Tamandua tetradactyla: one gene and its partners. The protein of the gene in region 3 purifies or fractionates together with the protein of the main gene of each other region. This does not show direct contact. Links are inferred from orthologs where the notes say so. Each region holds a gene or a part of one and is shown on either strand. Other genes may lie near its edges. The genes, in order: ENO1, HSPB1, ISG15 and HERC5.

Region 1 (7,449 bases), about 7.3 Mb from region 3:
GCTACACTGGAGGGCCATTTTAAACAACAGAACCACCAAAACATAAAGCACACAAAATGTGGAAAATGTGGCACTAAAAATACTGCAAATAAAGGATTCCTGGAACAAGAAGGCAGAACGTTGCCTTGCTCAGCCCCAGCTGGAAAGGTACGTGATGGGAGACTCAAATTTTTCACCATCTGCTCATGTCTGTGAATGAGCCTGAAAGTGCAGTGAATATTGATTTGGGTGACAAATAAATTTTAATGAGCAGTGAATTTGCAAATACAGAATCTACAAATAATGAGGATCAAGTATTGTGCCGTTTTGAATCTTTATGCAGCCCAGAAAAGACTGTCCTTTTAATCATTTTTGTGGGGGTAGAACTGTGGTTGGGTGGGACCTTTTGATTAGGTTGTTTCCGTGGAGACGTGGCCCAGCCCATTCAAGGTGGGTCTTAATCCCCTTGCTGGGGTCCTTATGAGAGGATAAAACACAGAAACATCAAGAGACAGGGGGTTAGAGAGAAAATGCCCTAGTTGAAACAAGCAAGGACCCACAGGAGCTGAGAGGGAAAGCCATTGAAACGAGAACCAGGGGAGAAGGAGCAGCAGACATCACCACGTGCCTTCCCATATGACACAGGAACGCTGGATGCCAACAGTCCACTGTGACGTGCCCCTGCCGGGCAGAGGTCTGGAGTCCAGGCCCCTCCTTAGCCACCTTTGATGTTGATCCTTGGCCCTGCCAGCTGCATTCAGAGGGCAAAAGCCCGCTTAGGCTAAGAAGTCCTTCCGAAGGGGCTCTGGGCCTGGCCAGCGCTCAGAAGGCCCTCAAAAGGGGGCAGTTGATCTGCAGGCCCCTGCCTGACCTGATTAGTCCAAATTCTGAACCAGCCATTCACTAGTGGAGCTGCCCCGCCTGCCCTTGCTGAGCTGAAACACTGGGCAGGCAGTCGCCCGGCTCCCCAGGACAAGGCAATGGCCCCTCACCGAGCCCCTTCTGACCCGCTGTGAATCTACCCAATGGCTCTTCAGGTCAGTCTGCATTTTCCTTCCAGCCACATGCTGGGCTGAAATCTATTCTCCCCTTGCATTTTCCTGACCAGATGGAGAAAACAGAAGAAGGGAAAAAAAAAGAGATTAGAGAATTCCAATGCAGGAGGTCTAAGAACCTCACATCAAGGAAACTGTCAGGGGTTGGGGAAAATTAGGGTTTCTCCCCCTTTGTTTAGGAAAGGCAGAAAATGTCATCTTGAGTGTGGGACTGGGGACATTTTGTCATAGGAACACAATACAATGTATCTAACTCTCTGATCTGTGCAAGTAGCTTTATCCTTCCAGCTACAAGTTTGTTCTTGAAAGAATACAGATATGAAGGCCATATGATGATGTTTCTCAAATCCTGAAGCTGCTGCAGATGAATTCTATTTTGGGTTGTATTCAAGGGGAAGCTGTTCAAATTAAGGGAAGGCTCCTTGGACTCCATTCAGTTTTGCAGCCTCTTACCCACATCTTTCATCTTAGAGGAACAGGAGGCTGAACGGTTGGGGCTAAGTCTGCCTCGGCTGGTCCCCCAGCACCTCCACCCTCCAACTGCAGACTTAGCAAGCCAGGCAACCTCTCTGAGCTTTGAAAAGTGGAGATGATCAGAGTGGAATCCGGTCATGAACTCGGTGAAGGGATGTAATGGCTAATGCACATATGAGCCTCTGCTCGCTGGATGCCTGCTTCTTGTGTTCCCCATCCCTCTGCACCTCTGTTGCCAGGCTTCCTTACTTTCATCTCCTCCCTGGGGCACTGTGCTCCCCATCTGTCTCCCTAAATGTACACTGGGTTTCTAGGGTAGGTTTGGCCAGTCCCTGATTCCCACAGTTGACTGGTGAAGTCAGCCTTGAAGAAGGCACGGGAGGAGGCTGAGGATGGCAGAAAGCCCTAATATGTACTTCAAAACCACCTACGGTTGAGTATTGACAGCAGTCTACAGAGAGAAAACATGGGCTTCTTTTTTAAGTGAAGGACTTGAAAGGGTGTCAGATTAAGAATGCAAGGAGATTTAATTCCTTAAAAAAAAAAAAAAAAGAAAAAGAGAAGAACCGAATTTGATTTTATTTTACCAAACTGAATCAGAACGCATACATACAGAGGTATAAACACTTTAGATAAGAAAGCTGAGATGTGTACATCCTACCACCCAGCAATTTCACATCCAGGTGTGCTTCCTAGAAACTCTTGCACATTTGCTCAGCTATAACAAAGTTCATAGCAGCATTGTTTATATTAGCAAGGATAATAACTGCAACCAACCTAAAGGTACATTGACAGGAGCATATGTGACCTTTACGCAGAGGAATGCCATATAGCACTGAAAATGAGCCGTCCACAGCTACACTGATGGATCTCACCAACATCAAGGTGAACAACAACAACAACAAAAAAAACAGTAGAAAAAGGCTTCCAACAGTAAAATTCTATCAAGTTTCTATCAAGTTCAAAAATTATTTTAAACCCTAAATAAAACTAAGGCCAAGGAGGAACAGATACCCAAGGGACTTGAATGAAATTGCAGATGTTCCATTTCTTAAACAGGTAGCGGGTACATAAATGTTCAGGTATTTTATCATATAAATCGTATACAGTCTTTGATACGTTTTTAATATTTAAGGATAAGCAAACAAACACAAAAACCCTCTATCTGTTATGAGGGTTCATCTGCCGCCATTAGCTGAGGACCTCCTGCAGGCCCCTCATCATACCGTAAAGTTTCCCATCTGCCTGGACACCCACCTTCAGAACAGCTGTATCACTTTTTCAGTAGACCAGTGTTGCACAAAACACAGATGAAATCAGTAATCCAGGTGTGTTGTCAATTGCTGGAGATTCACTTTCCCTTAAACCTCGTGTCCTTTAGATGGCCTTCAAGCACCACCTGCAAGGCTTCGCCAGGTGGTCTGCTCATAATACCTTGGACACTTCCTCCCCATCAGGTCCATGCCCCTGTGCTGCCCTGCAGGCAAAGATTAGCCCCATGGCCTATTAACAGAGCATCAGGAACCATGAAGATGGACAGGACATTTTGGCAGCCTGTGGATTTTTAGAGATTTGAGGGCATCTCCACTAATCATTAATGTTTCAGCTACAATTTGAGGTCGAAGTGCTAGCTCAGAGCACGGGGGTGGCTTCCAAGAATCTTGCAACAGCAGCTGTCTCATGTCATGATGCACTACATTTGATTTCCTGCTAGATGCACTGGTTCTGGCCAGAGAACTATTTTAAGAGCCATGTCTATCGTTATCTCTTTAACAATTCTAATGTAAAATTAAAGGGATTGTTTGGCATCCTTTCAGGACCACACCTTAAAATTGCTCTGAAAATAAAAGCTTTAAGGGTCTGATTTCCTTGGCGTTCTTACAAGGCTTGAGAGACGTTCGCTGTTGATTTAGCTGCTGAGTCATGGGGCTGGGATATTGGTTTTAAGCAGCCAGAAATGGCAGTGTACAGTTGGTGAAATCATAACCTCTGCTTGCAAAATCCATATCAATCTTTACTGAAATAGTTTACGATTTCCCTGTTTCTTTTCTTTTTTTTTCCTGAATTCAATCATAAAGTTCTTGCTTAGTTGTTGGAAAACAAATACGTGGACTCAGGAGGCCTTCTTAACCCTGTGCTTTGGAAACCTAAGCCAGCAGCTTGGGGGCAAAAAAAAGCTAATCATAAGAAATAAAGTAAATTATTTATTTAATATCTTTATGCACGGCAGTGTGTTAAATATAAAGACCATGCTGTTTTAGATCTCAGACTTAGAAATCAGGAGGGAGGGCCGTTAAGTAAATACAAAAATAAATGTATCGGAAAATAAAGCGATCATCTCAGGCCTTCTTTGGGGAGGCGCGTGTGTGTCTGTGTGTGCGCGAGTTGATTTTAAATGGACTATCCGTTTTTTTCTTGATCAGAAAATCAAAACCATTCCGCCCACCTCTTCTTGGTTTTCTTTTGCTAGACCAACGGGAATTACTACCTGCTTCGAGCAGTCCCCTCAGGGGGTATGTGAAATTCCATCCCTAAAGTCAGTCTTTGCTGTAGTTCAGGAGAACCTAGGCAGATCTCATCAGGGCCTACAAAGAGTAAAGGTGTGTGTGTGAAGTCTTCTGTCCTCAATGAAACAACACGAGAGAAGAATGAAATCCGCGCGGGGTGCACGCGGGCGTGCGGCACGCCGGAAGCGTGAGCTACAATGAAAAGTGAATCTGTCCTTCGGCTCCGTGCGTGGGATCCTCCACGCCCGCCCGACGCCGCGAGGTGAAGGAAACCCAGGTCACCTTGGCGGCGGCGCGCGCGTGGGGCCCGGCCGGAGCGCAGCGCGCAGGCGCGGACGAGCGCACGTGGACGCGGGCACGCGGCGCTGCGGCTCCCCCACCCCCTCCTCGCAGGCCCCCTCCCCACCCCAGGGTCGCGGCCGCTCAACGTCTCCACGCCGCCGGGGGCTCTCGGGCACCGCGCTCCGGGCCGGGCCGGGCAAGGGGGCGCCGCGAAGGTCATCAGCAAGGGCGTGCGGCGGCGCGGCTACGCCGAGTGCGTGCGGGACTCGGAGTACGTGCCGGAGCCCTCAGCCCTCATGCCCGCCGCCCCGCCCCGCCCCGCCCCGGCGCCACAGACCCCCGCCCCCCTTAGGGGCCCCGGCGGGAGGCGGAAAGGGAGGGCCGCGGAGGTCGGGGGCCCTTCTTGGGGTTTGAGTCTCCCGAGTCCCCAGCCTAGGCCCAAGTCCCCAGGCCTCCCGACCCCCTTCCCCCCTTTCTCAGCCTCAGCGCAGGCCATAGTCCCGCCCCTCTCCCCGAGGAGGGGGCAGAGGGCACGATTGACGGAGCACTTGGCCAATGGCGAGGCGGCGCGTAGGGGGCAGGCCCGGGAAGGCGGGAAGTGGGCGGAGCTCCGGGCTGGCAGGAAGTCGGGGCGGCGGCGGGGAGAGGACCCCGGGCAGTCGGCGCGTGCAGATCTCGCCTGCTGACCCTGCTGCGGTGTTTGCAGCCCTCTCGGCTTCTCCCTCGGCATCGTCCCTCGTTCACGAGACCCGGCGGCCAGGTAAGGACCCCGGGGAAGGCCGCGGGCGAGCGCTCGGCAGGTGGAGCGTGGGTTTCTTCGCCAGGTCCCCTCCGCGGCGTGCCCGTGGGCGCGGGCGTGGACCGGAGGGCTGGACGGTTCCCGGGCAGGCGAGAGGTGCGGGCCGACGCGTGAAGATGAGTTGCTTGGAGGGTCGGGGGAGAACAGGCGACCGTCTAGTCCAGCGGGCTGGGGAGGAAAGGGAGCCTCTCTGTCAGGAGCCAAGTAAAGGGGTTAGTTAGAGGGGAGAAATGCAGGCTTCGCCAGGATTTTTAATTAAATAATTAAAGCCAGGCCCTGCCTAAAACGGGGGAGGGGTCTGGGAAACAGATGACCCGCTAGCTGCGGCCCCCTCCCCCACCAGCAGCCTCTGTCCCCCGCTGGTGGCTCCCGGCCTGTAGGTCAGCGGCGTGCTGTCCAGCCCATCGCTGCTCCGAAATCAGACAGCTCGTGTAGCTTAAGAGGGTACTTTTTTTTTTTACAGTAATTGATTTTCTTCTGTCGAAAGAAGCCCCCATTTTTAAGAATCCCTGCCTACCTAGGATAAATCCCACTTGATCATGGTGCATAATTATTATTTTTTTTTTTTAATTTTTTAAGAAGTTATAGGTTTGCAGAAAAATCCTGCAGAGCTGCCATCTGTAGCCCCAGTCAGTAACACCAAGAAGGGGCTTCTTTATTTTTTATTTATTTATTTATTTTTAATCAAAGGGCCGAAGAGCCGTTGAGTCATTGAGGAACCGGCCAGGAGACTCTGCCTAAGTCAGGCAGGATCTGCTTCCCACCTCTCTGCCGGCCACCCCCACTCCGGTACTGGCTGACATAAAAAGGAAGTATTTTGAAAACGCTTCCTGTTGGCTTCTCCCCGGCCATGTGGTCGCCTGGTTGCCTTGCCTCAGGCCCCTCGGGACCCCTCCTCCCCGTTAAGTTCAAACCAAGCCCCGTGAAGAGCGATCCTGGGAGGCGGTGTAATCAGATCAACCCTCTCCCAGTCTGTGCTCCCTAAAGTTTCATTACTTTTAAAAAATAGCTATCTACCAATTTTTTTTGTGGGGTGCTTGGGCACAGCAGGCGAGCATTCTACAGTTAGCTATCAAATTTAAAGACACACTTGAGTTGATTATGTTTTATGTCACTAAATGAAACGAAAAATTAGACCTTAGATCTGTGTGCTGTGCCACTGTGTTAAGGATGTATTTAAAAGTATGATTAAAATCTACAGTAGCAAAGGAAATTAGTAGTTGCCTGGGAATGGACTGCAAACCATTAAAGCTGTATAGTTTGTCAAAACTCATCAAACTACACACTTGAAGTGGGTGCACTTTATGGTATGTGAATTATTTCTGAAAGTTGGTTTAAAACAATATGTTTTAACAAATGGGCCTTTTTGGAAGCCAGTGGATAAAAGCTAGATGCCTTTTAATTGACTAATGAATAAACTCCATTATTACATAGAAAGGAAAGCCACAGAAGTGAGTTCAGTGTCTAATTTTGAAACTCAAAATTAAAAAATAAAGATAGGATGCCATGTGCTGCTTCAGAACATTCCAGAGAAGATGTTGGAGGGTAGCCGAGGGAAATAATGGTTTCTGAATGCTAATTTATTTCCTCTCATTCACTTAAATGTCATAACTTGCTGAATTACTTTTTTCTTTGGAGACCCCCTGGGGAAAAAAGTGAGAAAACGGCTTTCTTTGGGCACTTGCTGCAAATCTCTGTTTTTTTTTTTCTTTTAGGTGTTATTTCTCTCAGAATGTTGTAGCAGAAGATAGAATTTTCTATTTACAAATCCCAATAGTTTATAATTAGGTTTTTTTTATTATTATTTTTTTATTAATTAAAGAAAAAAGAAATTAACACAACATTTAGAAATCATTCCATTCTACATATGCAATCAGTAATTCTTAACATCATCACATAGATGGATGATCATCATTTCTTAGTACATTTGCATCAATTTAGGAAAAGAACTAGCAAAACAACAGAAAAAGATATAGAATGTTAATATAGAGAAAAAATAATAATAATAATTTTAAAAGACACAAACATACAAACAAACAAAAAAACTATAGCTCAGATGCAGCTTCATTCAGTGTTTTAAAATAATTACATTACAATTAGGTATTATTGTGCTGTCCATTTTTGAGTTTTTGTATCTAGTCCTGTTGCACAGTAATTAGGTTTTTTAAATGGGCAAAATGGCCTTCGGAAGAAAGGGCCGTGTGTCCCACTACAGGCCGAATGCTGCGGCATTCAAGAGCCCCCAAGCCTGTCACTTCTGAGCTCCAAGCTCAGAATTTCTAACTGAATATCTAACTGCTCCCAACTGAACAGCCTGCTGCTACTTCAAACATAATGAATTAAAAAATTAAGA
Region 2 (6,270 bases), on a different chromosome or scaffold from region 3:
ACCCCTCCCACCTCACTCTCTGCAGGGCACCCTGGGGCGCTGAGAACCCAGGCCCCGTTCTGTACAGGTGGGTCCTGGGGGAGAGGGGACTAGGCTATGCCCCTCAGCAAGGGACCTGGAGTTGCCAGCCTGCACCCCACCTCCACCCAGCCTTCTGGGTGGTCCTGCTTCTCTGCAAGGACAGTGAAGTCAGAAAGGACTGTGCGCTCCCAGAAAGCTGGTCTCCCCAGGCCCTGCTGTCCCCGTTCACCTGTCCCCAGGCTAGGTGTACCAGAGTGGGCAAGGCCGAGTCAGGTGCCCCTAGTTCTGCACTTGGCCCTTGAGTTAATCACTTGGTTACAATCATTTGCTTCTCTTAATCACTCTCTGTGCATGAGCAAGTGGCACTTGCCCCAAGGGCTCCACAACGCCGAGTCTGAGGCAGTGGTGGGCAGTTCTCCCAACTTTCTTTTACTTTTTTTTAAAAAAAAGCCAGTCAAATTCAGCAGTGAGGAGCTGTATACCAACTTTAGTGACACTAATGTTAATAAATTCTGATAATCCCAACTTTTATTTTAAACAGAAAGAAAACGTATCAAAAGAGCATCCAGTGGGCGGGCAGGGACAGCTGGGAAGGACTCTGGGTGGGCAGGGCCAAGACCTCTACTTGGCTCCAGGCTACTCCGACTTCCCGGCCTCTGGGCCGCCGAGCTGGGCATGCGCCTCGAAGGTGACAGGAATGGTGATCTCGGCAGACTGGATGGCCGGCTTGGGCACGGGGGCCTCCACGGTGAGCGTACCCTCAGGGGACAGGGAGGAGGAGACCTGGGTAGGGTCCACACCTGGGGGCAGCCTGGGCACGCACAGGAAGAAGGCAAGAGTTACACATCCACCCACACTGCACGCCCTCTCAGGTCCCCCTCCCTGGGGACCTCTTCCCTTCCCGTCTGGCCCCCAAACTTACGTGTACTTTCTGGTGAAGCACCGCGAAATGTAGCCATGCTCATCCTGCCTCTCTTCGTGCTTGCCTGTGGGGAGGTGGTGGTCAGAGGCTGCTGGGGGTGGGGGGGGGGGGCTGTCTCTCGCACCCCCCATCGTCCCCAGGGCAGGCTGTCATCTGCTCTCTAGAGGGCCCCCGAGGCCAGAGCTGATTGACTGAAGGGGTTGGACAGCCCAATTCACCCGGGCCTTAGAAACTTCTGGAACATTCGTTTCATGCCTTTTGAAGCGGTGGGGCCACGCCCCCTGCACTGGCCGGGTTAGGGACAGGAACAGAGCGGCTCACACCCAATGGGTGGGCGCAGGAAGATCTGATTACTTGCGGGGTGAGATGGAGCGTCTCCCCAGGAAAAGGGCGTTTCTACCCCTAACAGAGCTGAAAAAGCCCTTAGGGCTCCCCGTCCCAGAACCCTACAGGAGGTTCCAGGCCTGGGGGCTGGGCCAACGCCCAAGGCGGCCGCGGCAGGCTGGGACCAACTCCCAGGGCTCCTGCCTCCCGGCCCTCGGCCACTTCGGAACTCCCCAGGCCCCTCCAGTCACTTTCCCGGCACCCACCCCCACCCCCACCCCGGCCCAGTTCTCCTTTCCGGGGTCGACCGGCCAGAGGCCCCGCGCTCGGCCCCCTAACTTGGCCGCCCTCCGGGGGCAGTGGGGGGTGCTCACCGGTGATCTCCACCACGCCGTCCTTGGTCTTGACCGTCAGCTCCTCGGGGGCGAAGTGGTTGACGTCCAGGGACACCCGCCAGCGGTCGGCCGTGTGCCGGATCTCCGAGACGCCGCTGCTGAGCTGCCGGCTGAGCGCGCGGCTGTAGGCGGGCGCGGCCACCGCCGCCGCGGGGCCCTCGACCGCCGGCCCCGGCAGCGGCCGCACGTAGCCCGGCCAGCCGCTGTGGCCGAACCACTGCGACCACTCCTCGGGCAGCCGGGGCAGCCCGAAGGCCTGGTCGAAGAGGCGGCTGTGGGGCGGGTACCAGTCGCGGAACGGGTCCCAGCTGGGGCTGCTGCGCAGGAGCGAGAAGGGCACGCGGCGCTCGGTCATGCTGGCTCGGCGCGTCGGGCTGCGGCTGCGAGAAGTGCGGGGCCGCGGGGTGAGCCGGGCTTTTATGGCTCTCGGGCCGGGTATTTTTAGCAGGCGGTGTCTCGGGTCTCTATTAAAGGCAAGGACTGGCTGGGGGCGGCCCCGCCCCCTGCATTCCTACCGTCCGGGGGCTGCGGGGGCGGGACGAGGAAGGTCCTGCCCACATCTGGAAACTTCTCTCGGTAAAGAAAACAAATGACCTGAGCGCCCAGGCTGGCGCACTGCCCGCCTCCGGACAACCGATCGCAGGCCCGGGAGGTAAAGCCCTGGACGGAGCTAGCTGAGCGCGGTCAGGCCCCTTGTCTCGGACCACACAGCCAGCGAGTGGCAGAACCAGCATTAGAGCCACGGGCTGTGTGTGAAATGTCTTAAGAAGCACTCGGGATAGCCTTTAGGAGTCTGCCTGCGTTCCCACTGTGGTTTTACCATTCACTGATTCGACCTGTGCACGTCAGACTCGTTGTGCCTCAGTTTCCCCATCTGGAAAATAGAAATTAATGATAACAATAATGCTGACGTCATTGGACTGGTGTGAGGAAAGATTTTAGCTCGGGGCAGGAGGTAATAATTACTCATTATTATTGTTTACCGGGAATGGAAGAAAAGGAGGAGGCTGGAGGAGAGTGTGTGGGAAACTCTCTTTCCTCCACGCCCCAGCCCTGTTGCAGAGGAAGTGGCCTGTGCAGGTTTGGCCATTCTCCCGCTGCCCCCAGCCCCCAGATCTGGCCCAGATCAGAAACACTGGGTCTGATGACAGGAGGGGAGAGAGGGGGAAGGTCACTGCCAAATCTTCCCCTTGTGTCTCTCTCTCCTTGAAGAGCACTGGACCGGCAACCTGAAGGGCGGCAGTCCTGAATCTAGTCGGACCTTTGCTGCTGATATACTGTGTCGTTTTGGGCAAGGCCTCTCCTTTCTCTGGCCTCAGTTTCCCCTTTTGCATATTATACGCTCCAAGTGCCTCTTGCTTCTGATTCCCACAGTGCAAAGGGATGGGGAACCCGAGGCAGTGTGGTTGCTCAAACTTGCTGGGCATCCGAGGCCCAGCCCATAACCCCATCCCTTCTAGCTGATCCTTTGGCATCCCGACACCCCCAAATCCTACTTCTGGAGGGGGCTGCTCATAGGCTCCTGCCATACCCTTGACATCCTCCTTCTCCTGCCTACATAGGCGTGACCCCATTCCAGCCTTCCGTCTCCCTGACTTAAGTCCAGTTATCCCCACTTTTTAAATGAGGAAACCAAGGGCTCTTTCTTATCTCTGTAGGACTCCTGCTTGGGGTCCCCCAATTCCTCTCTTTCCCACACCCCCTCTGTTAGCTGCCCCTGTCCTGGGGCTGAGACTCTCCTCCTGCCAGCTCTGCAGGGGACTACTAAGCCCTTGGCCTGCACAGGCCCAGACTCAGGGGACAGCCTGGGGTGGGAGCCAGACTCCCAGCCATTCTCCTTGATGGGCTGGGGGGGCATTAAGTCTCATGCCCTCTCTGAGTCTCAGTTTCCCTTTTGAGAGAGGACGCATAGGTGCTTCTCCTTCTTATCCATCTGCTCCCCAGCAGAGAGGAGCTGGGGTTGAGTCACAAAACTGAGGTCACCTCTGGAAAGGCCTTTGATCTCCTAGTGGTCTGGGGGGTCAAGGGTGGGAGGCAGGCAGGACCCCGTTCTCTGTCCCATCTCCCTTTTTGGATCATGTCATGACTCCAGTGGGTCTCAGTAGGGAGCCACAGGCCACCCCCAAGGGTCTCAGCTTCAGGAAGTCCCAGGCCTTGGCTCTTTGGCACTCCCAGCCCCACTCATCCCCAGCTCTATAAAATCGGGCTGAGATCAGTAGCCAAGGAGGGCCCTCACCCGCCCCTGCCTGCCCAGCTTCGCTCAGACTGGAGTCCAGGGCACCCCACCCTATATAATCATGGGTGCTTTCAAGTGTGGCCCTGCCAGGCCCAGCCACGCTCTGGGTGGGGGCTGCCTACCTGGCTGCCAGCGTTTTGTAGACACAAGCCCTTTTCATAGCTCCCTTCATCTTGCTGAAACCAGGGCAGATGTGCTGCCAGTCATAAGGGAGGGGACATGGATGGCTTTGAGCCACGTGGGAGTGGGTGAGTGGGGTGTGGGGTGTAAGAAACTGGGTTTTGGGGTCAGACAGGACTGGCTTGGTGACCTCTGCAAGCTCACATGTCCCCATCTGCAAAATGTACCCATTTTGCAGGGCATCGGTGGGTCTCGAATGCATGATGTCCACTGTCCCCAAGTGATGTCCACTGTCCCCAAGAAATACCAGCAGTGCTGAGCTTCTTGTCTCCCTCGTACCCAGGGCTCTTTCTTATCTCTGTGGGACTCCTGGCTTGGGGTCCCCCAGTTCCTCTTTTTCCCACACTCCCTCTGTTAGCTGCCCCTGTCCTGGGGCTGAGACTCTCCTCCTGCCAGCTCTGCATTTTCCAGTGTTACTTAGGAAAGAGGGTCTCTAACGTTGGATAGTAACAGAATAAGTTGCATGTGCTTTACAGCTTCTGAGTGTCTTAGCAGTCCCAGATGAGAAAACCGAAGGTCAGAATTGTTCCCATACCCTGCCTCACAAAGTTGGTAATGGGTGGGGAGAGACTGGAACTCAGGCCTCTTGATTCCCTGTCCAGCAGGGGAGAAACTTCCCAGGCAGCCCAGGGAGAGCTGTGGGCTTCCAGGGTGCAGAGGAGGTGGGCACCCCCTGTTCCCTGTTTGGCCAGGTTCTCTGTGGTCCTTTCCAGCTCAGGCCAGGAGCTCTGACCACGAGACTTCTCCAGGAGGCTGTACTCTGTGCCCAGGCATAGGGCTTAGCAGGCAGCAGGGACTGGATGTCATTCTGCCCTCGTCCACCTACCCAGTAACTCTTTGACAACCTGTGACTCCAGCGTCCTCGGACACTGAGCTGCCAGGGGGAGTTTTCCTGTGAGAAAGAGGACAACTCTATTCCCCAAGGGTTTCCCAGAAGCCACAGGGACAGGTCATAGTTGTCCCCTCATCCCATTACCCCCTGTAGGGTCTGGGGATTCCTGCATTGGAGGTGGCCCCTCCTCTCTTCCCTTCTCCTAAAGTCTGGAACACTCCAAAGCAGCCCCCTCCCCCATGCCCGGCCTCCCCAGCCCCCACCCCCCCACACTGAGGCCTTGGGCATGCTAGCCACACCCTTGGCAGGCTTTTGCTATTGTGGTTGAGCCAGCCCCTCCCTCTCTGGCCCAGCCTCAGAGAAGGTACTAGAATTTTCAGGCAGCTGTCTGATCTCCCTGGAGAGGCCTGACAGCTGATGGATTACGCCAGTCCACTGGGCCTGCTGGGAACTGACAATGCAAGCAGTAGTAATTATAGCATGGTGTGTGTGTTTGTATGGGTCTTTCGAGAAGCGTCTAGACAGTGTGCCTCTGGGAGTCTATTTCCGAAAGCTCATCTCTGCCTGCCCCACCCCATAGGCCTTGGGCTTCTGCTTGCCTTCCCCCAAGGCTGCTGAAGGGACCACAGGGGGCCGGTGGGGAAGACTGGTGCTGCAGCCTCCCACCCCTCCCGCCTGCCGTCAGGCAGAAAGAATCTCTTTAGCTGGGAGGCTGGGGACCTGGGGTGTCTTGGACTCTGACAGCTTGGCCAAGGGCCGGCCCCCTGTGACTCATTTTCTTCATCTGTACAATGAGACCACTGGACTCCTTCCAGAACCATGAATCAACAGTTTTTCCTCCACTCTCCTCCTTCCCCCCATGCCCCCTGAATGACCTGTTCTGCAGTCTGATGCTGCAGTGGTGGGGGGGGGTATATATAGTGAGTGGAGGCACCCCACCCCCCACTCCTGTTGCGCCTGGGTGTGATTTAGGGCTGCTTTCTCTTTAAATCAGAGTAAGATGAGAAAAAAGGGTGGGGGTAGGAATCCTCCCTAAACCTGTAGGAGACTGGGGGTGGGGGTGGGGAGGGGCTGCGGGAGGTGGGGAGGAGATTCCTGTCTTGGGATGGATTTGGGATAAGGGAGAGAAGCCCCCAGCGCCAGAAGTGGGAGACCCTGAGGCTGGGGCACCCCCGGGCTGTGGGCCCCCCGAGAGCCCTCCTCCGGTGGAGGGGAGGCCTGGAGAAGGATGGGACCCCTTTGCCGAGGGCATCCTCAGCTCCAAGAGGGGCAGCAGGTGGCCAGGCGCATCTCAGAGAGGGAGGGGACAGGGGTCACTGGCCCAGAGCTGGGACACCCTAGCTGGGCACGGGCACTTGTG
Region 3 (5,923 bases):
CCATTTGGGAAACTGGCACAGAATCAGGGGACAAGAAGCATCCTGTGAGGAAGGGGCTGTCAATGTGCCCAAGGGAGCCACCCCGTCTGGGAAGGCCATGGCCTCTCCAGTAAGTGGGTCTGCTCAGCCCTGAAGGAGGTGGGGGCTCTCTTGTTGACCCCTGAGCCCTAGCTCCCTCACAACCCACCCGATCAGGCCAGGGCCCATGTCCACCATCTTCTTGGGGGGCTCTGAGGCCCCAGGTGTGCAGAGGCTGGGCAGGGCCTGCAGAGCTCACACGGCCGACGGCAACCCTTCTCTCCCTCAGAGGAGGGCGTCCCCAGCGCGCGGGGGCAGCTGTCTGTAGTGTCCGCGGAGGGGAGAAGGCCACCGATCTGCTGCCACCAGGCTCTGACCCTGTGACTGGGAGGTCCTGCCCCTTGGTTACCAACATGAGCCACCCTGGGCCAGACAGACACGAGAATGGGGTGCCAGGGGCAGACACAGGGATGCTAGGACAAGGTGAGAAGACATGCGAGGCCCCTGCTTCTCGGTGTGGGTCAGCATTTATTACTGTCGCCTGACTGTCCAGGCTTCAGGTCGGGGTGGGATTACAACTGGGCAGGGAGCCTCAGTGCAGCACCTCGGGCCGCGCCCCACCCCCCCGCAGACGCAGGTTCATGAACACGGTGCTCTGGGACTCGAGGCCGTACTCCCCCAGTGGCTGTGGGTCCTCCATCGGCCGCCCCTCGAAGCTCAGCCAGAAGAGGTCGGCCTGGACGTTCTGGCGCCGGCACACCTGCTGCTTCAGCTCACCCACGGTCTGCCCCAGCCGGACCTCGTAGGAGCTGTTGCGACCTCTGCTGTCCCTCACCAGGATGTTCAGGGGCTCGTCAGCGCTCTGCACTACCAGCAGGACCGTGCTGCCGGGGCCCAGGCCCTGCCTGACCAGGGGCACCCCATCCTGCAGCGCCCCGCCGTTGGGGTGCACCGCCAGCCGCTGCTGGAAAGCCGGCACGCCCCACCTCTGGGCGATCTGCTGCCGCAGCTCCGACGCCATCGTGGAGTCGTTCAGGGGCATCGCGAACTCCTTGCCGTCCAGCATCTTCACTGTCAGGTCCCTGCCCTGCGGGGACAGCGTGAGCGCTCAGACACTGCGGCCTCCCCCAAGGGGTTTAGGGCTCGAGCCCCCCACCCCCCCACCCCGGCCCCCGCCTCACCATGGCTGCTGCTTCCTCCAGACCGAGGTCCCGGACACTGCTTCCCGCCGGCCGCTCAGCTCCTCGAGTCTCGTAGCGGCCCCAGCCCGGCGCAGCCCTTTTATGGCCCGGGGCGCTCACGTCACACGCGGGGTGGAGTCGGCGCGGAGGCACCGGCCGCCCCGGCCGCTTCGGTTTCGGTTTCCGTTTCCCAAGCCGTGCCCCCGCGGACGCAAAACCAAAACAGACACCAGGCAGCCCCCGCCCCGTCCCCGCAGAAAGCTCCGGTGCGGGCGCTTCCCGGCCTTAGCGAGATCCCAGGCCGGGAACCAGTGCCTGCCAACGCCGGCTCGCATTGTACTCCCCGCAAGTGAGTGAACGCGGGAGGCGTTGCCAGCTTATTCAGGCACAAAAAGGGAAAGCACAATCCAAAGTGCACACAGGTCCTCGCCGTGGATTTAGGACAGTATATATTCAGATTCTCTTTTTATGAAGAGCTTTATTTTTCATTTTGCACAAAAATGAACTTATGGGCATTATCAAATAAGTGAACCAAACCCACAGGATGGGAGAAAATATTTGCGAATCCTGTATCTGATCAGGGTCTGGAAGCCTTACAAGTCAACCACAAAAAGACAAGCAACCCAACGCAAACGGGCATTGACAGACATCTCTCAAAGAAGATGGAGGTTTGACCGACATCGTTAGCCACTAGCAAAATGCACTTTCAGACCACAGCGAGTGGCACCCCACACCAGGGGTGCGTGTGGGGTGCCCCACGCCACCGGAGAATGGAGGTGCGGAGCTGGGGCAGCAGTGGGCAGTGGCTGTGGGGCGCCCGGCAGCTCCTCGGCTTCTGCGGCCTTCCCAGGGCCCGGTGGCCTGCAGAGGCTCGGAGCAAGTGGCCCCTGCCCTCCTGGTGCCCTGGGGGTGCGCCCAGCAGGGCACGAGCCCATCAAGGTCTCCAAAGAAGGCTGCTGGCTGCAGTCTTGGGGAGCTGGACTTCGACCACGGGGACCTTTTCCTTCATTCCACCTTTTCCTTCGGCAAAGCGTGCCAGCACTAGGGGTCGGGACCCCCAGTGCTATTTCCACGCTGGGCAGAGGGGCACTGGAGCATGTCTTCTGGGGCTTGCGTCTCACCCCACAACATCCGACAATGGAATATTACGCAGCCACGAAGGGAATGAGGTGCTGCGACTGCTGCTAAGTGGAAGAACCTCAAAGCACCATGCCCAGTGCAAGGGGCCCAGAGCCGAAGGCCCCGTGATATTGACAATTTAGACGAGAGTACGGAACAGCCAAACCGATAGGCACTGCCTTGGCTGGCTGAGGCGGCCAAGGGACGGCCGACCAGAGACGGGTTGGCTGTCACAAGAGGCGGAGGCCGTGGGAACGTCTAGAGTGGGCTGGCGCCCTCTGTGGCACAGCCCGGCGCCTGCTTCCAGCTTCTTCTCTGGTCCCGCGTCCTGCTGTCCGCCTCCTGGAACCCCTGCAGGCTGCAGGGTGTCGCCCCACCTGGGGCAGCCCCTTGGAAGTGACACCCCACAGGCCCACCGTCATGGGGGACAACTGGCCTGAGGATGGTGAGGTTTTCTGGGCGCACAGCCTCAAACCACCAGAGTGGGACGGGGGCTCCCGACTGTGGGGCTGGGAAAGGAGCGCCCCTGCCCCACAGAGGAGGGGCTCGGGCCCGGACAGAGGTGGCGGTGCACAGCTTTGTGAATGTGCTAAATGCTCTGACCTCTCACCTTAAAACGATTAGTTTTGTGATACATAAATTTCCCCTCAATTAAAAAAAAAATACAAACGCATACTATCGGCCTCCCTGTGTTGGGCCCTGTTTGGCTCATGGGAAGGTGTATCCTAAATATCTGAGAGGCTGACAGATACATTTTAGGTTTTTTGAATGGCTGCATATGCTCCGCACAGAATAATGAATCAATTATAGAATAGACTGTAATTCAGTTAACCAATTCCCCACTATTGGATATGTGGATGGCTCTATTTTTTACCATTAGAAACAGCACAGAAGAGGTACAAGTTAGCCTAAAATAAGTTGGAAACAAAAAAGGTGGAAAAAGCATAATTGTTCTGCCTATGAACCCTGGACCCTCTCCCCATCATAAAAAGGCACATGGACCTCAAAATTGTTGAGGGGATGTTTAATTTCGTTCTTTCTATTATTTTAAATTTATATCTTGACTCTTCCCATGCGTAAACTGTATTGCTATTGTGAGAAGAAAACCGCAGGCTTACAAGAAACAGAGCAGAGAGAGTTCAGACAGAGTCAAGAGGCTACTCTGGAGGTTGCTATTACGCAAACTTCAGTTAGACCTTGCTACCTGTCATAACCTGCCAACCCCCAACCAGGACCGTTCCAGCCAATTCTAAAGAACTCCTCGGGCAATAAATATACAAGATTCCACAAGGGTTCCATGCACTAGAGTAACTTTACAGAAACCTACAACCTCCAGATGGGTCCCTAGTCCAGATAAGTCCTGAGACCTAGAGAGCCCAACCTCTCCAGAACATCAAATAGATGCATCTCCCTACCCCATATTAGCGACAGACCCTTCCAACACAAAAAAGTTAGAATTGCCTACTTAGATATTTTAAAGTTTATGTTGAATATATTTAAGTTACAAATTCAAAATTTTAGACTTTTTCTTAGGCTCCTGTGCTCTATCTGCGGGACTTCTCCTTTTTGGAGAGTACCCCCCTCTCACTAAAAACTGACACAGCCACAGAAACCAACACCCACCCAAGGGCTGGAAGAGCTGCCGGGCTCCAGGCAGGTGGCTCAGGAAGAACCCCAAAATGACCCGGTCCCTGCCCAGCAAAGCGGCCACAGCCGGGCAACACAGCAGCACCAGCGCCTTCCGAGGGAGGTGTATCCTGAGGCCAGTGCCACCCAGGAACCAGGGTCCTGGAGTTATACCCCCATCCTGGCCCAGGGAACTTGAAGACAAGGCCTTGGTACTGAGCAGAACAGGCCAAGAGATGAGATAGAGGGAGGAGGGTGGGGAGGAGGGAAGAGGAGGAGGAGGAGGAGGGAGAGAGGAGGGGAGGAGGGGGAGGAGGGGGAGGAGGAGGGGAGGAGGAGGAGGAGGGAGGGAGAAGGGGGAGAAGGAGGAGGGAGAGGAGGAGGGGGAAGTAGGGGGAAGAGGAGGGGGAGGGAGCGAGGAGGAGGGAGGGCAGAAAGAAGGAAGCTTGTGGGGGGGGGGCGCAGCTGCAGGTGCTCTCGAGGCAGAGGTGAGAGGCAGGTCCTCCTGGCCCAGGGCGCCCACCTTGATAACTGCAGCTCCCAGAACTGCCAGGCACAGGATACAGAATTTCTGTGCTCGCTGGGCTTAGAAAAGAGATTCTAGGCCTGCACAGCTTATCGCTTGCTACACAGCAAATCACCCCTACCCATGGTGGCCAAAGGAGCTTCTGAGGGTCAGGAATAGGCCTGGCAGGGCCCAGGTCTGCCCCAAACTGCCCCCGCTGTGTGGATTCCAGGCCCCAGGCCGCTCCAGGCCAAGCAGGCACCCGAGGAGACACGGTCCCACCTGCAGCTCCTGGGAGAGGACGCTCGGCCCCAGCAATGCCTGGCTGGCTTGGTTTTGCTCTCGAGTCCCTCACCTGCCCAGCAGCACCACAGGGACCCTTGCCCGAGCGCCGTCCCCTGAAGACCCGGCCCTCACCTCTCCCTGCGGTGACCGCAGACCCCTCCCCTGCCACTGCCCCCGAGTCTGCCCTCCACCCAGTGGCACCAGGACCCTTCCCTAGGTGCCACTCCGCCCCTGTCCTCCACAGGTCCCTGCACTTGCTTCCCCCCCAGAACACTCACACCCCCCCACACTGCTTCCCCCCTCCAAGCCGACTTGATGAGGACTTTCCTGACCATCCCGTTTAAAAGTGGAAAAAGAAGGGCAGGCACACACACACACACGCACACACATGCACACGCACGTGCACACCTGCACGCATGCACACACACGTGCACACACACTCTCCTCTCCCCACAGAACTGACAAGGTACACTCGGCTTCTCACCCTCCCAGCGGCCGTACACCAGCAGGAGCTGCTCGTGGAGGCTGCACAGGAAGAAGCATCTGTCCCTGCTGAGTGCGCCGTGTCAGTTTAATGAAATTAAACATATAAATCTTAAGTTCTAGAATATCCTAACTTGTTAACAAATTCAACAGCATGCTCCTATCTTTCTTCTTAAAATCATAAATCCAGTTGTCTGACTGAGCACCCCTGAATCTAGGGCCGTGAGGCTGACCAGACAGGACGCTCAGGACTGGGAGAGCCTTGAGTCTGACTCTTCACAACGTGAACGAGGCACAACTGACATCCGACAAACTGCCCCTACGGAACACGGGATGTTGGGTTTAGACATGTGCCCCTCTGTGAAACCATCACACAAACGAGGCACAGGCTCTTGCTGCCGCATCTCCAGGCTGAATTCCAGCCCCCGAGTCCGCAGCACAGGAAACATCTCTCCCGGTGCTGTGTCTTCGCCGAAGGGACAGGCTGAGCACCCCTCCTGACAGGAAGCCAGGACACGGTCTCTTCTATCTGCCGCTGTCGCTCAGCTCCAGAACCTTCCCCCGCCTGGCCCCGGGCTAGCCACAGCTGCAGAGGCCTGAGTTAGGGCCAGTTTAAGGCCGGGATCAGGGAGGGCTTCCCGAAGGACGCATGGGACTAGAGCCTGTCGGAGAAGGGTTGGTCTCAGAGAGGAGAAGAGGCTTCTAG
Region 4 (7,571 bases), on a different chromosome or scaffold from region 3:
TGATGAAGCAGACTACATAAAAAATGGTTAATTGTGCATAGCAAAAAATAACATCAACAAAAGGCAAACTAAGAAAATTATTCCAATATAGACAGTACATGATGGACAAAGCTATTTATACTCAATATTCAAATAACTATTTCAATAACAACTCAAATTTTAAAAAGCCAGGCAGATATGACAAGGCAGTTTACCAAAAAAGGAATGCAAGCAACCAATGGAGAAGTGAAAAGAGATGCTGAATTTCACTCAAGTTACATGAGACGCAAACAACAGCAAGATAACATTTTTCCACTTGTTGGATGGGTCAAATTTTAAAGACTAAGAGTGTGGGCATTCAATTACTTAATCTTTCTCTGCCTCAACTATAGCAGTTTATGTAGCAGGATTACATAATTGATGAAAAGGACATTGGACACACTCCATCAATGTGCTCTTCCTCTCTTTCTCAACACATACCCCCCCACATACCCCCACACACATTCAACATTGAAGAGCCTTTGATCCCAAGGCCCTTTTAGGGACTAAGAATAAAGTGAAGATCCCATTCTTGAGAAGGGAATAGGAGGACATGCTTTGGGAAAAATAGAATTATTTTAAGCAGTGATTATGACAATTAAAAGAAGACATTTATGAGTTTTTAAATACCGATTTTTAAATATTTTCTTATTCTTTAAGTTGTGAAATAAAGTCATATTTCCTGTTTAGCATACAATTTAGGTTATTATAAGGCATGGCTGTTTTATGTAAAAAGTTCAAGCAGGTTGCTCTTCCTGTTATATATTCCTATTCCTCTCCATTATTCACACAGAAGAATGACCTGATCTTGGACATATGTTTCATTAAAAGACACCAACACTCACTTCACTGCAGTTGTCGTAATACATGCAATGCCTAAAAAGAAATCCATACCACGTATAGGTTGTGAATTCCCAAATTTTGCATTTTCAAACCTATGAAAAAGTGGCAAATATCACACGAAAGCAATAAGATTATTTTTATGTTTCTGTAATGATTTCACCTGGATAATGTTAATCCACCTACACTAACCCAACTACATTGGATTTAGTAATATTGCTTTCATGTGGGCATAACACTACGTTTTTCCCTCTCCAAATCTCCTCTTTGCACAACAACCTTAGTGACTAATATCTTGCTATTAAACTCTTTTTCAGGTACTATATTCTTACCAAAGTAAAAGAATTATGCCTCTCTGGAATATTTTCACTGTATATAAATTAAATCTCTGCTATTTTGCATAAAGTTGGGGCATGGAATTTTAGCATTCAACAGATAAACTGCTCCCTGACCCCTCTAGGCATTTTTGGGACTCCAGAAGCAATCTTACCTTGTTTATCAGTGTGAATTTATCACTATAAAATAGTAATTTAAATGATGGGAAATGGAATCCAATTTCCATAATGTCTCCCCCACGCTCCATGGATTTAGGTGACACTGGGCAAATTACTTAATAGCTTTGTGTCTTCAGCTGAATATGAATAATAGCTTTCCTCTGAAAACAGCACTTATATCATAAGATTATTGTGATTTATATAATTAAGGTAATTTATATAAAGTGGCTGGAACAACACTTTACATACATTAAATATTGAAAAAATATATATATATTTAAAAGTGTGGGCATTTACTTTCCGCAGCCTGTAAAATCGGAATCACAATACCTGACCAAATCTCTACAGAAATAAGGATGTCAGAGAAGCTCAACTCAAAGCATTCTTTAAATTGCTCATAAATATAAAATACTATGATTGAGAATAAGATAACGACGTTCTCCAAAGGCTCACATCTTCAGAGTGGACATGTCCTGAAAAGGAGTGAAAAAAATTTTTTTTTGAAAAGGAACCAATTATTATGGCACACTTGACTAAGAAAGATGAAGATTCTGTCTATATTCCTTTTCTCCCTCGATGCCCTGTCGATGTGGAAAGGACGATTCCACTATTTCTCATCAACATTCTGCAAACTGCGCAAACTAGAGCCAGGGATAAAGGGGACCACAGGAGCCAAAGGGACAAGCGACCCAAACCCGGAGAGTTTGCGTAACAATCGGATACCAGTTGCAGGGCCTGGTCCCCTTCTGAACTTTTACTCCCTCTTAGAAAAGGCCCCACACTCCAACTCGGATCCTTTAAAAAGTGTCCGTGCTGGGCCCTGCCCAGGCAAGGTTGTCCACCGCGCGCCCTCACCAGAAACCCCCACCCTAGGCGGGTAGGCCAAGAGACGATGCCGGTGCCGCTCACCCGATTTACTGGCGCCACCGCATCCCGGTGGCAGCTGGTGAACCTCGACGCCGGCCCCGCCACGCTCCAGCACCGCCAGGCGCCCGCGCGCGCAGCAGATCTGGCGCGTTGCCTCCAGCCTCCGGGGCAAAGCGCTGCGGAGGCCCGCGGGACTGGGGAAAAGCCAGAGCTCCGCGCTGGGGCGCGCCATCGAGGTCCCGGGGTCCGGCTTGGGCGCCCCGTGAGCGCGGTCCCGCGACCTTCTCCGCAGCTTCGGTCCCATCGCGCTCACCGACTCGCCTCCGGTCCCTGGTCCTTCGGGGGAAACTGAGCTACAGCTGGCCACAAAGAAAATGGAACAGGGGGCTATGAGCAACACCTGAGCGCGTCCAGTGCCCCCGGGGCGTCGCGGTGAGCACTGACTGGCGGCGCTGGTCGCTGCTGCTGCCTCGCGATCTGCGCCTCTTCCCAGAAGCGAGGCTCCTAACGCACTGTTTGCGGACGGAGCTGACAGTTCAGTTAGGAAACGAAAGTGATTTTTTTTCGTGAGAAAGCGGAATCGAAATAGAAAAGAAAAAAAGTAAACCGAAAGAGAAACTGGCTTGAGAGGCCACGAAAATAAACAGGTCGCTGGCAGGCTTTGGCAGGACGGAGAAGGTGTCTCCGGGGGCACAATGGGCACTAGAAAGAACTCCCAGACTGAATGACCTTCGAACAACATGGCAATTCCACTAGCAGGCGCCGTGATACATGCGGGTTTACGGAATTCTAGAAAATATTGTGATAAATGGACGCTAAAGTTTGCTCAGCTTTCTGTTCCAGGCTCGTCCACAGGATGGCGGCTTAACTGCATCAGGGAGCTGTATGGTCAGCCCTCCCCGCCGCCCCCTGCCTCCCCACCCTACCTTGGCAGCTAGTGATTTGTTTCTGTCAATGTAGTTTTGCCTTTTCTAGAACTTGATTCAAATGGAATCATGCAGTATGTGGTCTTTTATATTTGACTTTTTTTTTTTACTTACCACAATGCCTTTGAGATTCATCCTGTCGGTTTTAAAATCTGTACTTCTTTCTTGTTATTGCTGAGTGACATTTCATTATAGGGATATACTACAGTGTTTATATCCATTTACCAGTTGATGGACATTTCAGTTCTTTCCAGTTTTTGGCTACAATGAATAGCGATGTCTTTGGACAAATATTTTCATTTCTATTGGGTTATACCTAGAAGTGAAATTGCTAAGACATATAGTAGGTGTATTCATATTCTTATAAGAAAGACCAAACTGTTTTCCAAAGTGGCTGTATCATTTAGCATTCCCTCCAGCAATGTGTGGGAGTTCCTGTTGTTTCATATCCTCAAACCTGTACTTGGTATTGTCAGTCTTTTTAATTTTAGGAATTGTGGTCTGTAGTGACATCTCATTGTGGTTTATATTTGCATTTTTCTAATAACTAACGATGGTCTATGAGTGCCTATTTTCTACCTCTATCTCTTCTTTGATGAAATGTATATTCAAATTTTTTTGCCCATTTTTAAATTTGATTATCTTATCAAAGAATTCTTTATATCATACATTAGAGTTATTTGTATGTTATATACCACACCCTTTTCTTAAATAAATGTTTTGAACTGTGTTCTGCTTGTCTGTGATTTGTCTTTTAGTTTTATTATGTGTCTTGAAGAACTAAAGTTTTAAATTTTTATCAAGTTCAATTGGTCATTTTTTTTCTTTTACATATTTGTATTAGTCTCCTAGGGCTGCCACTTGGTGGCTTAAAACAACAGAAGTTTATTGGTTCCCAATTCTGGAGGCCAAAAGTCCAAAATCAAGGGTTTGGTAGGGCCCCTCCCTCCAAAGCTCTAGGAAAGAGAGCTTCCCTACCTCTAACAGCTTCTGGTGGCTGCTAGCATTCCTTGGCTTGTGGTGATATAACTGCAACTTCTCCTTCTGTTTTCATATCACCTTCCCTGTGCCTCTGTGTCTCAAATATTACTTTCTTTTCTCTTTTAAGGACACCAGTCGTTCTAGTTTGAATCTGTTATGTGCCCCCAGAAAAGGCTATGTTCTTTTAATCCATTCTTGTGGCGATTGTGTAGTGAAACATTTTGCTTAGGTTGTTTTCATGGAGATGTGACCCATCCAATTCAAGGTGGGCTTTTATCCTTTTATTGGAGTTCTCTAAGAAAAGAATAAAGGCAGAAAACACAGGAAGACAGATACAGAGAGCAAAGAAATGAAACCAAGGGAAGGATGTAGAGAGAGAGAAATGCTAAGATCTGCAGGACACAGAGCTCAGAGAGGTGTCCCTGGGGAAGCAAGCAAGGACACAAAACCTAAGAGCAATGGAATCCAGGAGCAAAGGACCAGCAGACACCTTCCCATGGGACAGAGGAAACCCACATGCCATTGGTCTTTCTTCGGCGAAGGTATCCTCTTATTGATACCTTAATTTGAACATATCCAAGGCCTTAAGAATTGTTAACTTGTAGTTTTAAAAATCCCCGTTGTTAAGAGCTAGCCCATTTCTGGTATATTGCATTTTGGCAATGTTAGCCAACTGAAACGCCAGTCATTGGATCAAAGGCCCCCCCTAAATCCAGGACAATCTCATTTCGATATCCTTAACTTAATTACACCTGCAAAGGCCCTGTTTCCAGATAAGGTCACATTCACAGGTACCAGGCTTAGGAGTTGGACATGCTATCTGGGCGACACAATTCAACCAATACAATAATTCAGGCCCATTTTAGGTCCTATTTAAGAAATTTTTATTTAACCCAAGTTTACAAAGATGTTATCATCTAGAAGTTTTGTAGTGTTAGGTGTTGGCTCCATTTCAAATTTATTATTATTTATAATGTAAGGTAATGGTAGAGGTTCGTTTTCTTTCCTTATGTATTTCCAGTGTTCTAGCTTGCCTTTACCCTATCAAATCGCCTTGCCGCCTTTGTCAAAAGAATCATTTGGCCCAGGTGTATGGGTGGTTCAGTGGGAGAAGAATGCTCACCTTCCATGTGGAAGACCTGGGTGTGATTCCTGGACCATGTAAAAGAAAAGAAAAAAAATCATCTGGCCACATATGATTGGATTTATTTCTGGACTTTATTCTGTTCTATTGATCTATATCTATATTTACTTTAGGTACACACTGTATTGATTACTGTAGCTTCAAAGTCTCAATCAGTTCATACAAGAAATCCAACATTGTCCTTTTTCAATGTTGGGTTTTAGCTATTCCAGGTGTTTTTATTTCCATATATATTTTAGGGTCAGGTTATCAATTTCTACAATTGCTAAAATTTTCATTGGGATTGCATTAGAGCTAATGAAAAAGTAGAGAAGAACTGGCATGCTAACAATGCTGAGTCTTCTGATCCATAAACATAATATACCTCCATTATTTAAAGCTTCTTATTTCAGAAAGATTTTAGAGTTTTTAGGGTACAAACATCTTTTGTTAAATTTATCCTTAAGTATTTCTTAATTTTTTTTTGATGATATTCAAAATGGTACTTTTAAAATTTCATTTTATGGTTATTGTTAAGGAATAGAATACAACTGATTTTTATATATTGACCTTATATCCTTTATATTTCTACATTAATTTATTATTTCTAGTTTTTTTTTTGTAGATCTCTTATAATTTTCTGTATAGATAATTGTATTAGTTTGCTAAAGCTGCTGGAATGCAATATACCAGCAATGGAACAACTTTTAAAAGGGGGCTTTATTAAGTTGCAAGTTCACAGTTCTAAGGCCGAAAAAATGTCCAAATTAAGGCACCAACAAGAGGTTACCTTTGCCCAAGAAAAGCTGATGCCACCCAGAACACCTCTGTCAGCTGGGTAGTCGTGTGGCTGGCTTTTGTGGGTCCGCTGCCCCTGGGCTCCATTGCTTTCAGCCTCTGTTCCTGTGGGGGTTCCTCTTTTGGCTTTTCCAGGGCTAGGTTTCATCTCTTGGCTTTTCTTGGCTTTTAAGATTCTGGCTTGCTTAGCATCTCATGGGAAGGCACATGCGGGGCTCTGCTTGTGTCTAGGCATCTGCTCTCTATGTTGAAACTCCAAGCATTGCCAAACATCCATGTCTGTCAGCTCTGGGGCAACTGTTCTCCAAGCATCTGCATCTGCATCTGAGGTTTCTTCAAAATGTCGCCCCTTTTAAAGGACTCTAGCAAACTAAACAGGACCCACCTTGAATGGGTGGAGTCACATCAAAAGGCCATACTCACAATTGGGTGTGTCACATCTCCATGGAAACAATTCAATCAGTTTCCCACCCCAAACAATAGGTCTGACCCTACGAGATTGGATCAGGATTAAAACATTGCCCTTTGGGGTACATAAGAGTTTCAAACTGGCACAATGATAATGCCACATACAAATAAGGTACTTTTTTATATGAATTACGATTTTGTATTGATATATATTCATACACCACGTAATCATCCAAAGTGTATAATCAATGGTTTAGAATATCATCATATAGTTGTGCATTGGTCATCACAAATTGACTTTTTCTGTTTTGTGAAAAATAACATTTATACAAAAAAGCAATAAATTTCAAAGCACAGCACAACAATTAGTTGTAGAACAGATTTCGGAGTTCGGTATGGGTTGTAAATCCACAACTTTAGGTTTTTACTTTGAGCTGCTCTATGATACTGGAAACTAAAAGAAATGTCAGTATAATGATTCAGCAATCACACTCGTGTTAAACCCTACCTTCTCTCTGTAACTCCACCATCTCCTTTGATCTTTCTCCCACTCTTTACAAATAAGGCACTTTTAATCCTTTCTTTCCTAGCTAGTATGCCTTTTCTTTCTTTTCCTTGCTTTATTATGTGGACTAGTACATCTAGTACAATGTAGAAGCCCTGAGAGTGAACATCCTTGTCTTGTGTCCAGTCATAGTGGGAACAAGACTCACTCTTTCACCATTAACTATGAGGTCAGCGCTAGGCTTTCCATGGGGGCTCTTATTCAGGTTGAGGAAGTTCTTTTCTGCTCCTAGTTTACTACGAACACTTTTCATGAATGGGTGTTGAATTTTATCCAATGTTTTGTTCTGCAACTATTGAGGAAATAATACAATTTTTCTTTTTGCCCTCTCTCTTTTTTTATTGTCCACGGTAAAATAGAAGTGGTTGATTTTTTTTTCTTTCTATTAATGTTTTAATTCTTATTCTGTTGTCTTTTTATTTCTTTTTCTAAATCGATGCAAATGTACTAAGAAATGATGAATATGCAACTATGTGATTTTATTAAGAATTACTGATTGTACATGTAGAATGGAATGATTTCTAATTGTTTTGTTAATTCTTTTTTTAATT

Evidence for each region.
Region 1: the proteins of ISG15 (region 3) and ENO1 purify together in Homo sapiens (affinity purification with mass spectrometry; 4 studies listed by BioGRID, with this or other methods). This does not show direct contact. The link is inferred for Tamandua tetradactyla from reciprocal best matches to the Homo sapiens genes ISG15 and ENO1.
Region 2: the proteins of ISG15 (region 3) and HSPB1 purify together in Homo sapiens (affinity purification with mass spectrometry; 3 studies listed by BioGRID, with this or other methods). This does not show direct contact. The link is inferred for Tamandua tetradactyla from reciprocal best matches to the Homo sapiens genes ISG15 and HSPB1.
Region 4: the proteins of ISG15 (region 3) and HERC5 purify together in Homo sapiens (affinity purification with western blotting; 3 studies listed by BioGRID, with this or other methods). This does not show direct contact. The link is inferred for Tamandua tetradactyla from reciprocal best matches to the Homo sapiens genes ISG15 and HERC5.

What each region holds. Positions count from the first base shown.
Region 1 is NC_135328.1:216,491,746-216,499,194, forward strand, and holds the start of ENO1 (alpha-enolase), read left to right. Parts: upstream 1-4,434; 5' UTR 4,435-4,568; intron 4,569-4,898; exon of another isoform or gene 4,899-5,003; 5' UTR 5,004-5,057; intron 5,058-7,449. UniProt on the Homo sapiens protein: Glycolytic enzyme the catalyzes the conversion of 2-phosphoglycerate to phosphoenolpyruvate. In addition to glycolysis, involved in various processes such as growth control, hypoxia tolerance and allergic responses.
Region 2 is NC_135349.1:10,412,002-10,418,271, forward strand, and holds HSPB1 (heat shock protein beta-1), read right to left. Parts: upstream 2,200-6,270; 5' UTR 2,018-2,199; coding exon 1,642-2,017; intron 1,008-1,641; coding exon 944-1,007; intron 833-943; coding exon 658-832; 3' UTR 528-657; downstream 1-527. UniProt on the Homo sapiens protein: Small heat shock protein which functions as a molecular chaperone probably maintaining denatured proteins in a folding-competent state. Plays a role in stress resistance and actin organization.
Region 3 is NC_135328.1:223,814,945-223,820,867, forward strand, and holds ISG15 (ubiquitin-like protein ISG15), read right to left. Parts: upstream 1,442-5,923; 5' UTR 1,203-1,441; coding exon 1,200-1,202; intron 1,106-1,199; coding exon 611-1,105; 3' UTR 524-610; downstream 1-523.
Region 4 is NC_135350.1:38,226,226-38,233,796, forward strand, and holds the start of HERC5 (E3 ISG15--protein ligase HERC5), read right to left. Parts: upstream 3,025-7,571; 5' UTR 2,962-3,024; coding exon 2,262-2,961; intron 1-2,261.